Linked DNA regions of Saccharomyces cerevisiae S288C. The protein of the gene in region 1 binds, or shares a complex with, the protein of each later gene. Each region holds a gene or a part of one and is shown in the gene's direction. Other genes may lie near its edges. The genes, in order: UBC4, UFD4 and MOT2.

What was found.
Region 2: the proteins of UBC4 (region 1) and UFD4 are in contact, whole or in part, in a cryo-EM structure (PDB 8J1R), measured with the Saccharomyces cerevisiae proteins. Residues at the interface, in NP_009638.1 of Saccharomyces cerevisiae: Met1 (codon at 1,887), Ser2 (codon at 1,890), Ser3 (codon at 1,893), Ser4 (codon at 1,896), Arg6 (codon at 1,902), His56 (codon at 2,147), Pro58 (codon at 2,153), Thr59 (codon at 2,156), Asp60 (codon at 2,159), Pro62 (codon at 2,165), Phe63 (codon at 2,168), Lys64 (codon at 2,171), Pro65 (codon at 2,174), Lys67 (codon at 2,180), Cys86 (codon at 2,237), Lys91 (codon at 2,252), Asp92 (codon at 2,255), Ser95 (codon at 2,264), Pro96 (codon at 2,267), Ala97 (codon at 2,270), Asp118 (codon at 2,333), Leu120 (codon at 2,339), Val121 (codon at 2,342), Pro122 (codon at 2,345), Glu123 (codon at 2,348), His126 (codon at 2,357); in NP_012915.3 of Saccharomyces cerevisiae: Ser1166 (codon at 5,229), Tyr1167 (codon at 5,232), Leu1261 (codon at 5,514), Leu1262 (codon at 5,517), Lys1264 (codon at 5,523), Ser1265 (codon at 5,526), Leu1266 (codon at 5,529), Tyr1268 (codon at 5,535), Ile1269 (codon at 5,538), Ser1281 (codon at 5,574), Leu1282 (codon at 5,577), Ser1283 (codon at 5,580), Leu1284 (codon at 5,583), Thr1285 (codon at 5,586), Thr1287 (codon at 5,592), Pro1289 (codon at 5,598), Gly1290 (codon at 5,601), Asp1292 (codon at 5,607), Tyr1313 (codon at 5,670), His1378 (codon at 5,865), Val1430 (codon at 6,021), Glu1435 (codon at 6,036), Met1448 (codon at 6,075), Cys1450 (codon at 6,081), Tyr1453 (codon at 6,090).
Region 3: the proteins of UBC4 (region 1) and MOT2 are in contact, whole or in part, in a crystal structure (PDB 5AIE), measured with the Saccharomyces cerevisiae proteins. Residues at the interface, in NP_009638.1 of Saccharomyces cerevisiae: Ser2 (codon at 1,890), Lys5 (codon at 1,899), Arg6 (codon at 1,902), Lys9 (codon at 1,911), Pro62 (codon at 2,165), Phe63 (codon at 2,168), Lys64 (codon at 2,171), Asp92 (codon at 2,255), Gln93 (codon at 2,258), Trp94 (codon at 2,261), Ser95 (codon at 2,264), Pro96 (codon at 2,267), Ala97 (codon at 2,270); in NP_010991.3 of Saccharomyces cerevisiae: Pro34 (codon at 2,223), Leu35 (codon at 2,226), Cys36 (codon at 2,229), Ile37 (codon at 2,232), Glu38 (codon at 2,235), Tyr54 (codon at 2,283), Cys60 (codon at 2,301), Asn63 (codon at 2,310), Glu69 (codon at 2,328), Leu70 (codon at 2,331), Asn71 (codon at 2,334), Pro75 (codon at 2,346), Ala76 (codon at 2,349), Arg78 (codon at 2,355).

What each region holds. Positions count from the first base shown.
Region 1 is NC_001134.8:406,128-409,055, reverse strand, and holds UBC4 (E2 ubiquitin-conjugating protein UBC4), read left to right. Parts: upstream 1-1,886; coding exon 1,887-1,933; intron 1,934-2,028; coding exon 2,029-2,428; downstream 2,429-2,928. UniProt on the Saccharomyces cerevisiae protein: E2 ubiquitin-conjugating enzyme that catalyzes the covalent attachment of ubiquitin to other proteins. Mediates the selective degradation of short-lived and abnormal proteins. Mediates ubiquitination of PEX5.
Region 2 is NC_001143.9:420,784-427,608, reverse strand, and holds UFD4 (putative ubiquitin-protein ligase UFD4), read left to right. Parts: upstream 1-1,733; coding exon 1,734-6,185; downstream 6,186-6,825. Other genes in the region: sphingosine N-acyltransferase LAC1, read left to right, coding at 1-314; ribosome assembly factor MRT4, read right to left, coding at 657-1,367; CCE1 (cruciform cutting endonuclease), read left to right, coding at 6,393-6,825. UniProt on the Saccharomyces cerevisiae protein: E3 ubiquitin-protein ligase which accepts ubiquitin from an E2 ubiquitin-conjugating enzyme in the form of a thioester and then directly transfers the ubiquitin to targeted substrates.
Region 3 is NC_001137.3:290,927-295,325, forward strand, and holds MOT2 (CCR4-NOT core ubiquitin-protein ligase subunit MOT2), read left to right. Parts: upstream 1-2,123; coding exon 2,124-3,887; downstream 3,888-4,399. Other genes in the region: RGI1 (Rgi1p), read left to right, coding at 1,140-1,625. UniProt on the Saccharomyces cerevisiae protein: E3 ubiquitin-protein ligase component of the CCR4-NOT core complex, which in the nucleus seems to be a general transcription factor, and in the cytoplasm the major mRNA deadenylase involved in mRNA turnover.

The sequences.
Region 1 (2,928 bases):
GAAAAGGGTTGTCATATGTAAAAAATTAAGCAAGCCTTTTGTTTCAAACTTAATATATACCTCTGCGGGGGAATTACTTTTTTGGTAATAAGCTATTTTCTCCAGCTATGGGCCGTACCATCGAGAGAAACTCCAGCACCATGGATTGCTGATGGTAGCTACAGGTGCTTTTTAACTGTGCATGAGCCAAGAGCCTTGTGAGGGACCATTCGTGGAGTCCAGCTCAGCTTGTTTCCGGAGAGTTTCCCAGAATAATAAGCAAACGCAATCTGAAACACGCACATTCCCGAATTCAATGGGAAATTCTTTGAGTCGTACGCGGAATGCGAGCGGTGCCGGGGAATTCCAATGAGGCTGATTAAACCGGACTACGGGCAAAATGGCTCATCTGAAACACCTTGCGCCGATAAAAGACCCTCACCTGTGTCACTAAATGGAAAGAGTTGGCGTAAAATCTTCCTGTAAAAGGATCTCACCATTTTGGCCTAAAACATCATCATATCTGTTTTCGTGGAAAAAAAAGGCCGCTCATACATGAATACAGTGGGCACATGCCACCTGTTATTCCATAGCTGGCTTTACTGTAATATTAGAATAGTTCCTATCTGTGTGAAAAGTTTCTTTCGTTACCTTTTTTTCAGAGTCAAAAGCTGGAGGAGGCTATTGTACTTGCCTGTAGTTCCAGGTAACAATCGCTTAAGCAGTGAGCCCGCTTAATGAGAGCAAGTTATATATGTTTTGCTAAAACCTGCCAGATTCTCAGCCTAGAAGATATAAATCTAACGTGGATTTGTTACAGGCTGTCATACCTTATGTACTTACGCATCGTATCTTGTATGTGTTCACTTTTTTCTGGTAACTACACCACTTGGCTTAACCTTGCCAGGAACCGAGTAGGCCACACATGTTTTGAATATTGTAAGTGTGTACAATAAGCTGCAGTACTCTTTTGATTCTGTAGGAAACCAGCGAAGAACGTACTCTTGCCTGAAGAGAAGTTTTTTTTATTTATTTATATTTTGTTCTGGAAGCTCTTTACAGAATGGAGTAGGAAAATATATAGAGAGGAAAAGCGAAATCGTTACGAGAATAAATAATCAAGAAAAGAAACTTGAACTTGGCTTTTCCAAAACAACAGAAGTAGCGTTAATTTACTTTCACCGTAAAATTCAACTCTTTAAATATAGTCCACTTAGTAAATTCTTGCCAATTTGCATGATAAATTCGAACCCATTCCTCAAAATAAAGGGTCCTCATACATTCCATGGAAAGAAAGTTTTCTTGAACATTAAGAATAAAAAGGCAAAAAAGAAAAAAAAAAGCACAGCTACTGTTTTAGTCAACATTCCTTTCTCACTGGAATGCACAAGGTGTCATTCCTGAACAAGGGTAACTGCACTATTCATATGTCCACCTTATGACTTCATAAAAAGTTTGACAATAAGTAGTCTTACGTGATAAGAAATGATGTAACATAAGGCTAATGTCCTTATTCCAAAGTATCTCATTTATACAATAAACAAAACTGATCTTACCGCCTATCCTCCTCTCCGCACTAATCAATTGTTATAGTTTTTCTCGAAGCGAGGATCAAATGGCCGAGCAACAGGAAAAGGAGTACCGGCGGTCACATGGTCTGCGAGATTTTTCCCGCTGCGGAAAAACCTGGCAACAGCTCACCTTGAAAGGCCTTGGCCTGTATTTTTCTTTTTTCTTCATCCTTCTTTCTTTTTCTTTATTCTTATTTTTCATCTTAATAAATAATCCAGAGAATAAATCTATCCTGAAAAAAAATAAAGTAAAGAAGCCAGGAAAATCACTATCGCCACAAGTAAATAAATTTCACTGACTATAGAGTACATACATAAACAAGCATCCAAAAAAACATGTCTTCTTCTAAACGTATTGCTAAAGAACTAAGTGATCTAGAAAGGTATGTCTAAAGTTATGGCCACGTTTCAAATGCGTGCTTTTTTTTTAAAACTTATGCTCTTATTTACTAACAAAATCAACATGCTATTGAACTAGAGATCCACCTACTTCATGTTCAGCCGGTCCAGTCGGCGATGATCTATATCACTGGCAAGCATCCATCATGGGACCTGCCGATTCCCCATATGCCGGCGGTGTTTTCTTCTTGTCTATCCATTTCCCAACCGACTACCCATTCAAGCCACCAAAGATCTCCTTCACAACCAAGATATATCATCCAAATATCAATGCCAATGGTAACATCTGTCTGGACATCCTAAAGGATCAATGGTCTCCAGCTCTAACTCTATCGAAGGTCCTATTATCCATCTGTTCTTTGTTAACAGACGCTAATCCTGACGATCCTTTAGTACCAGAAATCGCTCATATCTACAAGACTGACAGACCCAAGTACGAAGCTACAGCCAGAGAATGGACAAAGAAATACGCTGTATAAACAGAAGTCCTTACTCAGCTGAAAAAGAGAAGCAAGATTTATATGGGATTGGACGATGAAAAGAATATTAGATACAATGTATTTAAGAAAGAATACAATAAAATATATGTATATTCTATCTCTAATAACATAGATTTACTGATATAAGATATAAGACTATTGTTGGCAACAGTACAGGGGAACCTTTTTTTTTTTTTCCAAACAACTCGAATCGTAAACCTTAATTTAATTTATTCAGGGGAGATTCATGAACATTTTTTTCCTCGAACAGTATGGAGAATTTTTGCTTAGTTACATGCACGCAAGCGCGGGTATATCCCGCATATATTTCAGTTGTGGTTCATATTTGACCTAACTTGTCGAGGGAGCGTCAACGTTAACCGTACCTTTTTCATTTCTAGTCTATCTGTAGGTTAATTACTATTGTCATTAACATCATTTCTGGGGTGAAGCCTATTTAAATTTTTGAAGTTCAACGCATAGCTAGTATATGTAATCAA
Region 2 (6,825 bases), on another chromosome or scaffold:
TTTATTTGCGTCATTACATAAATTTAAAGATCCTATGGTCCGTTTTAACGCAATTTCGCACGGAAGGTAACTATGTCTTGAATTTTGCCACTCAGCAATATAAATGTTGGATTTCCTTACCAATTGTCTTTGTATTGATAGGCGCTTTGCAATTAGTGAATCTTTATTGGCTGTTCCTTATTTTTAGAGTTCTTTACAGGATTCTATGGAGAGGTATTCTCAAGGATGACAGAAGTGATAGTGAATCAGACGAAGAAAGTGATGAAAGTTCCACTACTCCAACTGACAGTACTCCAACGAAAAAGGATATTTGAAGGAAAACGGTGTTTTTAAGTAGTATAACCATTACACATTAATTCTTTACACATTAATTCTTTTACGGTCCTGCTCTCACGTTCTTCCTTATTGGTTTATGTAAACAGGTATTTTTATAGTATTCTTTTCCAGACATACAGTGTTATCTTTTTTTCTTGCTTTCGTGCCGCTAAAGAGCTGTGAAGATCAAAAGTGATTTACGCTTAGTTAGCATGAATATAAATTCTCAGTTGAAAAGAAGCTATGTTACATTTATGAGCGTTGCTTTAGTATATCTATACAAAAAAAAGAAATTTTTATACAATGGTCTATTAAAAAAGGCTTCCAAATAATAGTTCAGCTTATTCCATGTTGATGTTAGTGCTTTCAACAGTGGAGCTATCGTTGTCATAGTAGGCCGACACCTTGACTTTGAATTCAGAAGCAGCGATACCGAATTGTTTCAGTATTAAAGCTTGACGAACATCTAATTTTTCTCCTTCAGTGCAAACTAAATATGGACTGTCAATGGTGATCTTACCAGCTTTGATTTTAGTTGGAATTTCAAATTTGTTTCTCATAGTTGGCTCTAAAGAATGAATCATTGGAACATCTTCCTCAGCTGGAATTTGACCACCACGTGAGTAGACAATGCCCTCAGGAATTGTAAATGTTAGTGGTGCTTTCGTGTTCGGTCTTGAATAGTCTGAACGAACGTATGACTTAAAGTATTCCTTGACAGTGTTGACATCCTCATCAGTGAACAATAAACCAGTGACACCGCTACAAAGCTTACTCAATTGATACAGATTTTCTTTGTATTCTTCTTCCCTCTTTTCTCCCAATGCTTTTTGTAAAACTTTCCTCTTACCCATAATTAACTTAGAGCCTGCCCAAGATGTTCTGATTTCTTGTAAAACTGGAGTTCTTACGTCGTCAAGATGTAGGACCCAGACGTATCTATAAGTATCTAAGGCTTCCCTCACTTCATCGAAAATTCTTTCTTTATTTTCTCTGCCCTTTTTATCGGTTTGTGCTAAAGTGACTAGCTTGGAACGTTTTGATCTTGGCATGATTCAACTATAATAAATCTTTTATGGACGATAGACAGTGATGTACGTATAGCAAAAGGAATCAGCTCTGCTTAGCCAAAGTACTACAAATATTTGCAACTTTTCAAAAGCTCATCGCATTTTTCTGGAAAAAAATTTTTTCTTTCACCTTCGCCGGGTAAAGTCCTAATGGTTGGGTTTTCTGAACTGAAATCAAATTGTGGGATCATAGCCAACAGTAGTTGGAAAGGGGAATAGCTTTGATCATACCCAGGGAAAGACCACTTTCTGGGATCGATACTTTCCTTTCTGTGTGCTTTATTAACAACAATATATCTCAGGTGTGAAAATTTTGGATAAACATTTAAAATAGAAGAGTAGCCAAGCATGTCTGAAAATAATTCGCACAACCTTGATGAACATGAGTCCCATAGCGAAAACAGTGATTATATGATGGATACGCAGGTAGAAGATGACTATGATGAGGATGGCCATGTACAGGGTGAGTACTCTTATTATCCTGATGAAGATGAAGATGAACATATGCTTTCTAGCGTCGGAAGTTTTGAGGCAGATGATGGTGAAGATGACGATAACGATTACCATCATGAAGATGATTCTGGACTTTTATATGGATATCATAGAACTCAGAATGGCAGTGACGAAGACAGAAATGAAGAAGAAGATGGACTTGAACGTTCTCACGATAATAATGAATTTGGCAGCAACCCCCTACATTTACCTGACATTTTGGAAACATTCGCACAAAGACTAGAACAAAGAAGACAAACAAGTGAAGGACTTGGGCAACACCCGGTTGGAAGAACACTACCCGAGATTTTATCGATGATTGGAGGAAGGATGGAGAGGAGCGCAGAGAGTTCGGCAAGGAATGAGCGGATTTCTAAATTGATAGAGAATACTGGGAATGCCTCCGAGGATCCTTATATTGCAATGGAGAGTTTAAAAGAACTTTCTGAAAACATATTAATGATGAATCAAATGGTTGTCGATAGAATTATACCGATGGAAACCTTAATAGGTAATATAGCTGCCATACTCTCTGATAAAATTTTACGGGAAGAATTAGAATTACAAATGCAAGCTTGTAGATGCATGTATAATCTTTTTGAGGTCTGCCCTGAATCTATTTCAATAGCTGTTGATGAACACGTTATACCAATTTTACAAGGAAAATTGGTAGAGATCAGTTACATTGACCTCGCAGAACAAGTTTTAGAAACGGTGGAATATATTTCTAGAGTACATGGGAGAGACATTTTAAAAACGGGCCAATTATCAATCTACGTCCAATTCTTCGATTTTTTAACTATACATGCGCAGAGGAAGGCTATCGCAATTGTTTCGAACGCCTGTAGCAGTATCCGAACGGATGACTTTAAGACCATTGTTGAAGTACTTCCAACGCTGAAGCCAATTTTCTCGAATGCGACAGACCAACCAATATTAACCAGGCTTGTAAATGCCATGTACGGTATTTGCGGGGCGTTGCATGGGGTTGACAAATTTGAGACTTTGTTTTCGTTGGATTTAATCGAAAGAATAGTTCAGCTAGTTTCTATTCAGGATACCCCCTTGGAGAATAAACTGAAATGTTTGGATATTTTAACCGTATTAGCGATGAGTAGTGATGTACTTTCAAGAGAACTGAGAGAGAAAACTGACATTGTCGACATGGCAACACGATCATTCCAGCATTATAGTAAAAGTCCTAACGCAGGGTTACATGAAACACTGATTTATGTCCCAAACAGTTTATTGATTAGCATTTCTAGATTTATAGTTGTATTGTTTCCTCCCGAGGATGAAAGAATACTGTCAGCGGATAAATATACCGGAAATAGCGACCGTGGCGTAATTTCTAACCAGGAAAAGTTTGATTCCCTAGTTCAATGTCTAATTCCAATTCTCGTTGAAATTTATACAAATGCTGCTGACTTTGACGTAAGAAGATACGTACTTATTGCTTTACTGAGGGTTGTATCATGCATAAATAATTCCACAGCAAAGGCAATCAATGATCAACTTATTAAGTTAATCGGATCTATCCTGGCCCAAAAAGAAACAGCGTCTAACGCTAATGGTACTTACTCATCAGAAGCTGGTACACTGTTGGTTGGTGGTCTCTCGTTGCTTGACTTAATTTGTAAAAAGTTTTCCGAACTGTTCTTTCCTTCCATCAAAAGAGAGGGCATTTTTGATTTGGTTAAGGATTTGTCTGTGGATTTCAATAACATTGATTTAAAGGAAGACGGGAATGAAAATATTTCACTTTCTGACGAAGAAGGGGATTTGCATAGCAGTATTGAGGAATGTGATGAGGGTGATGAAGAATATGATTACGAATTTACTGATATGGAAATTCCTGATTCAGTAAAACCAAAGAAAATTTCAATACACATTTTCAGAACTCTATCTCTAGCTTATATTAAAAACAAGGGTGTGAACCTAGTTAATAGAGTACTTTCTCAGATGAACGTTGAGCAAGAAGCAATAACAGAGGAGCTCCATCAAATCGAAGGCGTTGTTTCTATTTTAGAAAATCCTTCCACTCCGGACAAAACTGAAGAGGATTGGAAGGGAATTTGGTCTGTTTTAAAAAAATGTATTTTCCATGAAGATTTCGACGTGTCAGGTTTCGAATTTACTTCTACAGGGCTAGCTTCCTCCATAACTAAAAGAATTACATCCTCAACGGTATCCCATTTCATTCTTGCTAAATCATTTTTAGAGGTATTTGAGGATTGTATTGACAGATTTTTAGAAATCCTACAATCTGCTCTCACAAGGCTGGAGAATTTCTCTATAGTTGATTGCGGTTTACACGATGGTGGTGGTGTATCTTCACTGGCTAAAGAGATAAAAATTAAGTTGGTTTATGATGGCGATGCAAGCAAAGATAATATTGGTACTGATTTATCATCTACTATCGTTTCGGTCCATTGCATAGCTTCTTTTACCTCACTTAATGAGTTTTTGAGACACAGAATGGTAAGAATGCGTTTTTTGAATTCATTAATCCCAAACCTTACATCTTCCAGTACCGAAGCTGATAGGGAAGAAGAAGAAAATTGCTTGGATCATATGAGAAAAAAGAACTTTGACTTTTTTTATGATAATGAAAAAGTTGACATGGAGTCTACAGTATTTGGTGTGATATTTAATACATTCGTCAGGCGAAATCGTGACTTAAAAACTTTATGGGATGATACACATACAATCAAATTTTGCAAAAGTTTAGAAGGTAACAATAGAGAGAGTGAGGCAGCCGAGGAAGCTAATGAGGGGAAAAAGTTAAGAGATTTTTATAAAAAAAGAGAATTCGCACAGGTTGATACTGGATCTTCAGCGGATATTCTGACATTGCTGGATTTTCTACATAGCTGCGGTGTTAAAAGCGACAGTTTTATCAACTCAAAACTAAGCGCTAAGCTCGCTAGACAACTAGATGAACCATTGGTAGTAGCAAGTGGAGCTTTGCCGGATTGGTCACTATTTTTGACCAGGAGATTCCCATTTTTGTTTCCGTTTGATACCAGGATGCTTTTCCTACAATGTACTTCATTTGGTTACGGAAGATTGATTCAACTTTGGAAGAATAAGAGTAAAGGCTCGAAAGATTTAAGGAATGACGAAGCTTTACAACAACTTGGGAGAATTACTAGGCGTAAGCTGCGGATTTCAAGAAAAACAATATTCGCTACCGGTCTCAAGATTTTATCCAAGTACGGAAGTAGCCCTGACGTACTGGAAATTGAATATCAAGAAGAAGCAGGAACAGGTTTAGGACCGACTTTGGAATTTTACTCCGTAGTTTCCAAGTATTTTGCAAGAAAGTCGTTAAATATGTGGCGTTGTAACTCTTATAGTTACAGAAGCGAAATGGATGTTGATACTACTGACGATTATATTACCACTTTATTGTTCCCAGAGCCCCTCAACCCGTTTTCCAATAATGAAAAAGTTATTGAACTTTTTGGATATTTGGGGACATTTGTTGCCAGATCGTTGCTTGATAATAGAATTCTTGACTTTAGATTTAGCAAAGTCTTTTTTGAGTTATTGCACAGAATGTCTACGCCCAATGTGACGACAGTGCCGAGCGACGTTGAAACCTGTCTGTTAATGATCGAATTGGTAGATCCGTTACTCGCAAAATCCCTTAAATACATAGTAGCGAATAAGGATGACAATATGACCCTAGAATCGTTGTCCTTGACATTTACCGTTCCTGGAAATGATGACATTGAGTTGATTCCGGGGGGTTGTAATAAATCCTTGAACTCTTCTAATGTTGAAGAATATATCCATGGCGTTATCGACCAAATATTAGGTAAGGGCATTGAAAAACAGTTAAAAGCATTTATTGAAGGTTTTTCAAAGGTGTTTTCCTATGAGAGGATGCTAATACTTTTTCCGGATGAATTAGTGGATATTTTCGGACGAGTTGAGGAAGACTGGTCTATGGCAACTTTATACACAAACTTGAACGCTGAACATGGCTATACAATGGATTCTTCAATCATTCATGATTTTATATCAATAATATCCGCGTTTGGTAAGCATGAAAGAAGATTATTTTTGCAATTTTTAACGGGATCTCCCAAGCTTCCAATTGGGGGATTTAAAAGTTTGAACCCAAAGTTTACAGTTGTGTTAAAGCATGCTGAAGATGGCCTAACAGCAGACGAATATCTACCAAGTGTAATGACATGTGCTAATTATTTGAAATTGCCGAAGTATACTAGCAAAGATATTATGCGGTCTCGTCTTTGTCAAGCCATTGAAGAGGGTGCAGGAGCTTTTCTACTTTCCTAAATTTTAGTTACTTTTTCTATTTAAGTTTTATATGACTTCAAAATTATTTCTTAAGATACAAAAAATGGATGGAATCAGACTAAATTTCTTCGGATTATCCGTACTTTTCTCATTTTTTTGTTTCAACTGGCGATTCCATATTTGTTTATCCATTGCATACAACGAAGGCTTACGGTTATACAGTCTAAAGCTAAAAAAGATAGTAATATGTCGACAGCACAGAAAGCTAAGATATTGCAACTCATCGATTCCTGCTGCCAAAATGCAAAAAGCACACAACTGAAATCTTTATCATTTGTTATTGGAGCAGTAAATGGCACGACGAAAGAAGCTAAAAGAACCTACATTCAAGAACAGTGTGAATTTTTGGAGAAGTTACGACAACAAAAGATAAGAGAGGGAAGAATTAACATATTGTCTATGGATGCTGGTGTTTCTAACTTTGCTTTCTCTAAGATGCAATTGCTCAATAATGATCCGCTCCCTAAAGTACTAGACTGGCAAAAGATAAATCTAGAGGAGAAATTTTTTCAAAACCTCAAAAAGTTAAGCTTGAATCCTGCTGAAACTTCTGAGCTTGTATTTAACCTTACGGAGTATTTATTTGAATCTATGCCGATACCAGATATGTTTACAATTG
Region 3 (4,399 bases), on another chromosome or scaffold:
TATATCAACATTAATTACATGCGAGCTATGTATTATTAGCTCAATCAGCAGGACTAAAATCGAGGAAAAAGTAATTTTGTTTATGCCCAGTTCAGTTATCGTCCATTTGTAGCAAATGTGGTACAAGTTGACCCATATTTTCATGCATTGGGCCATGCAGTAATTATCACACTCACTTTGTCATAATGTATACAATGGCCGCTTATTTGCGACTCGTCTCATATTTTTCCTGAAACTGTAGCTGTGTGTAATATTATTCATTAACTTCGATAATTCGGCTACAGAAGACAAGAGCTACATCCTTACTGGTGCGAATAAATGACATAATCTGTCAAGAGTACCGAAGTAAAAGCAACGATTGCCGAACACATCTTCCTGAAGTATCATATGCCAATACAAGGTTTCAATAGGAATTATGAAAGCGGCATTATCACCCTTAATCTGAAATATGTAATGATGACGGTGCAGTATGTTGACTACATTGTAAAGTTGCACTTTCACTCAACTCATGAAATTGATGACATTAATCCTACGTGACTTACACATATGCCATGAACGAAGAAGGTGGCACCAAAAATCCAGCGTTTCCGATATACACGCAGTCAAATGTTCAGACTAAACTTTGGTATTCTGACAACGTGTTGTCATACCTGTTACGAGCCAGAAACGTATTTCTTTTTGGGTGATACAATCTCCAGATGACTGCTTTTTTTTTTTTTACCCCAGATTCAGGGGCCGAAGGAACGGAAATGCGGTGTGGCGAGATTGCGGATGTGCTAAAAAATAATATCCTCGAGGCAACCAGCATAATGTGGACGGCTCTCGGCAATTGACTTCCATAACAAATGCATCCTGTAATCAGGGGTATTATAAGTTACTGTATGGTTAATTAAATATAGAATGAAAGGGGCAGCGTTCTTAAGGGGTATTGCTGGGTGGAAAAATACAAGTGTCTTTACTTGATTGTGTGCACATATATAAGGCAAAAGATTTCTAGCGTATATTTGAATCTTTTGTTCTTCCACGTTCAAATTTCTTTGGTCAAAACATTTCATAAAGGGACAAGTTCTGCATTGTATTCTAATAATTGCCCATAGAACATATAAATTAGGTATCGACTGTTTTCGTCTCCACTTTAAATGACAAAGAAGGATAAGAAGGAAGTAAAAGTTCAAACGGTTACCACGGAGGATGGTGAAACCGTGAAAGTTTTTGAAGACCTGCAGGGTTTTGAAACTTTCATTGCCAATGAAACTGAAGATGATGATTTCGATCATTTGCACTGTAAATTAAATTACTACCCACCATTTGTGCTACACGAGTCGCACGAGGACCCTGAAAAAATTAGTGATGCTGCAAATTCTCATTCTAAGAAGTTCGTGCGTCACCTGCACCAGCATATTGAAAAGCATCTTTTGAAAGATATTAAGCAAGCCGTTAGGAAACCTGAGCTTAAATTTCACGAAAAATCGAAGGAAGAGACATTTGATAAAATCACCTGGCATTACGGTGAGGAAACTGAATACCATGGTAGACCTTTCAAGATAGACGTTCAAGTAGTTTGCACACATGAAGATGCTATGGTATTTGTCGATTACAAAACACATCCTGTAGGCGCAAATTAAAGGTTGTGTCATAGAGAATGTGTTAGTACTGAATCCTAACCTCCCAAATTCATAAGTAGTTTTATGTACCTTTAATGATTTACGATTAGCAACTTTTTGAATTTTTTTTATTGAAATGTTGAGCCCGAAGACGTGAAACGCTATAAAGTAGTATCACTGTTACGCCGCGAAACCTGATAATGTATTGTTAAACTACTACCTGGTCGATGATTATATCGACGCTTCTAAAATGAATGCTATTACCCGAACTTCCACTTGATTGCCGTCTCTTCCCGGGTAACATTGTAAGTGTGAATATGATTTTTTTTTTTGCTTTCTCTTTTCAAAATTTCCGAAAAGCATATCAAGACGTGTACTACATACAGTAAAAGCCCTCCTAGGGTTTTCAGTAGTGGTTCGAATAGTATAGATTACTGCTTTTGTTACTCTGCAACAATCCCAAAACTTAATAAAAAGTACAAAAGACCAAATAAAAGTATCGTATATAATCCAGTCATAATGATGAATCCACACGTTCAAGAAAATTTGCAAGCAATCCACAACGCCTTAAGCAATTTTGATACGTCATTTTTATCGGAGGATGAAGAAGATTATTGCCCTCTTTGTATTGAACCAATGGATATTACTGATAAAAATTTTTTTCCTTGTCCCTGTGGTTATCAAATTTGTCAATTTTGCTACAATAATATCAGACAAAATCCAGAATTAAATGGCCGTTGCCCAGCATGTCGTCGTAAATATGATGACGAGAACGTCAGATACGTCACATTATCTCCGGAGGAGTTAAAAATGGAGAGAGCCAAGCTCGCTAGGAAGGAGAAAGAAAGAAAGCATAGAGAAAAAGAACGTAAAGAGAATGAATATACGAATAGGAAACATTTATCTGGTACCAGAGTTATCCAAAAGAATTTAGTGTACGTTGTTGGCATCAATCCTCCTGTTCCATACGAGGAAGTTGCGCCCACTCTGAAATCTGAAAAATATTTTGGCCAATATGGTAAGATAAATAAGATTGTGGTTAATAGAAAAACACCCCATTCTAACAACACAACCAGCGAGCATTATCACCATCATTCACCAGGATATGGCGTTTACATAACCTTCGGATCCAAGGACGATGCTGCAAGATGTATAGCTCAGGTAGACGGGACGTATATGGATGGCCGCCTGATCAAAGCTGCCTACGGTACTACTAAATACTGTTCTTCTTATTTAAGAGGATTGCCATGCCCAAATCCCAACTGTATGTTTTTGCATGAACCTGGTGAAGAAGCTGATTCTTTTAATAAAAGAGAACTCCACAATAAACAACAAGCGCAACAGCAAAGTGGCGGAACTGCATTCACTAGATCTGGAATACACAACAATATATCTACCAGTACCGCTGGTTCAAATACCAATTTACTAAGTGAAAATTTCACAGGCACACCTTCACCGGCGGCGATGAGGGCTCAGTTACATCATGACAGCCATACAAACGCTGGAACACCGGTATTAACACCTGCTCCGGTCCCTGCAGGGTCAAATCCTTGGGGAGTTACTCAATCAGCAACACCTGTAACCTCTATCAATCTCTCTAAAAACAGCAGCTCCATAAACTTGCCAACATTAAATGATTCTCTGGGCCATCATACTACCCCCACAACAGAGAATACCATCACAAGTACGACAACTACTACCAATACCAATGCTACAAGTCACTCCCATGGTAGCAAGAAGAAGCAATCTCTTGCTGCAGAGGAATACAAAGATCCTTATGACGCACTAGGGAATGCTGTTGACTTTTTGGATGCAAGACTACATTCTCTATCAAATTATCAGAAGCGCCCTATATCTATCAAATCCAATATTATTGACGAAGAAACTTATAAAAAGTATCCGTCTTTGTTTTCTTGGGACAAGATTGAGGCCTCAAAGAAAAGTGACAATACATTAGCCAACAAACTTGTGGAGATCCTGGCTATAAAGCCAATAGACTACACTGCTTCTGTCGTTCAATTCTTGCAGAGTGTCAATGTTGGTGTAAATGACAATATTACAATCACAGATAATACGAAAACTCCCACCCAACCAATAAGACTGCAAACCGTCTCACAGCAAATCCAACCACCATTAAACGTCAGTACCCCTCCACCGGGTATCTTTGGTCCACAACATAAGGTTCCTATTCAGCAGCAACAAATGGGTGATACAAGCTCAAGAAATTCCTCTGATTTACTAAATCAACTAATCAACGGAAGGAAAATTATCGCCGGTAATTAATCCGACTCTAAATATTTTTCTTGTTTGCATTAACCATAATTTTATCTATTTTTATTTCTCATGAATATATAATCTCTCCGTTTATAACGAAATGCAAGAAAAAAAAATCTCACCCATTTTTTTAAACCTTTGACGTGGAAAGGTATCTGGGAAAGGTATCTGGCTAATGAATAATGCCATAGCATATACCAGTATAGTCTATTTACTCGTTACAACGTATGAAAGCGTCAGCGCTGCAAGAATGACTAATTCATAGAAAATAATCATCATGATATATATCATAATGCACGGAACCTGCTTCGCTAATTTTTTCACTTAAATCACATTTTTTCAACGAAATCTCTTGCGCAGTTGGTTGGAATTCTTATCCGAATGACTCAGTCTACATCAAAAAACTGTGGCCGAATGGTGGTAATTGATGACTCTTCTATTTTTTTTTTTCATATAAAGAGCTTGCGCGCGTGTTGTTGTTCGCTATCCATTTCCATTAGGAACATTTTTGGATATTATTT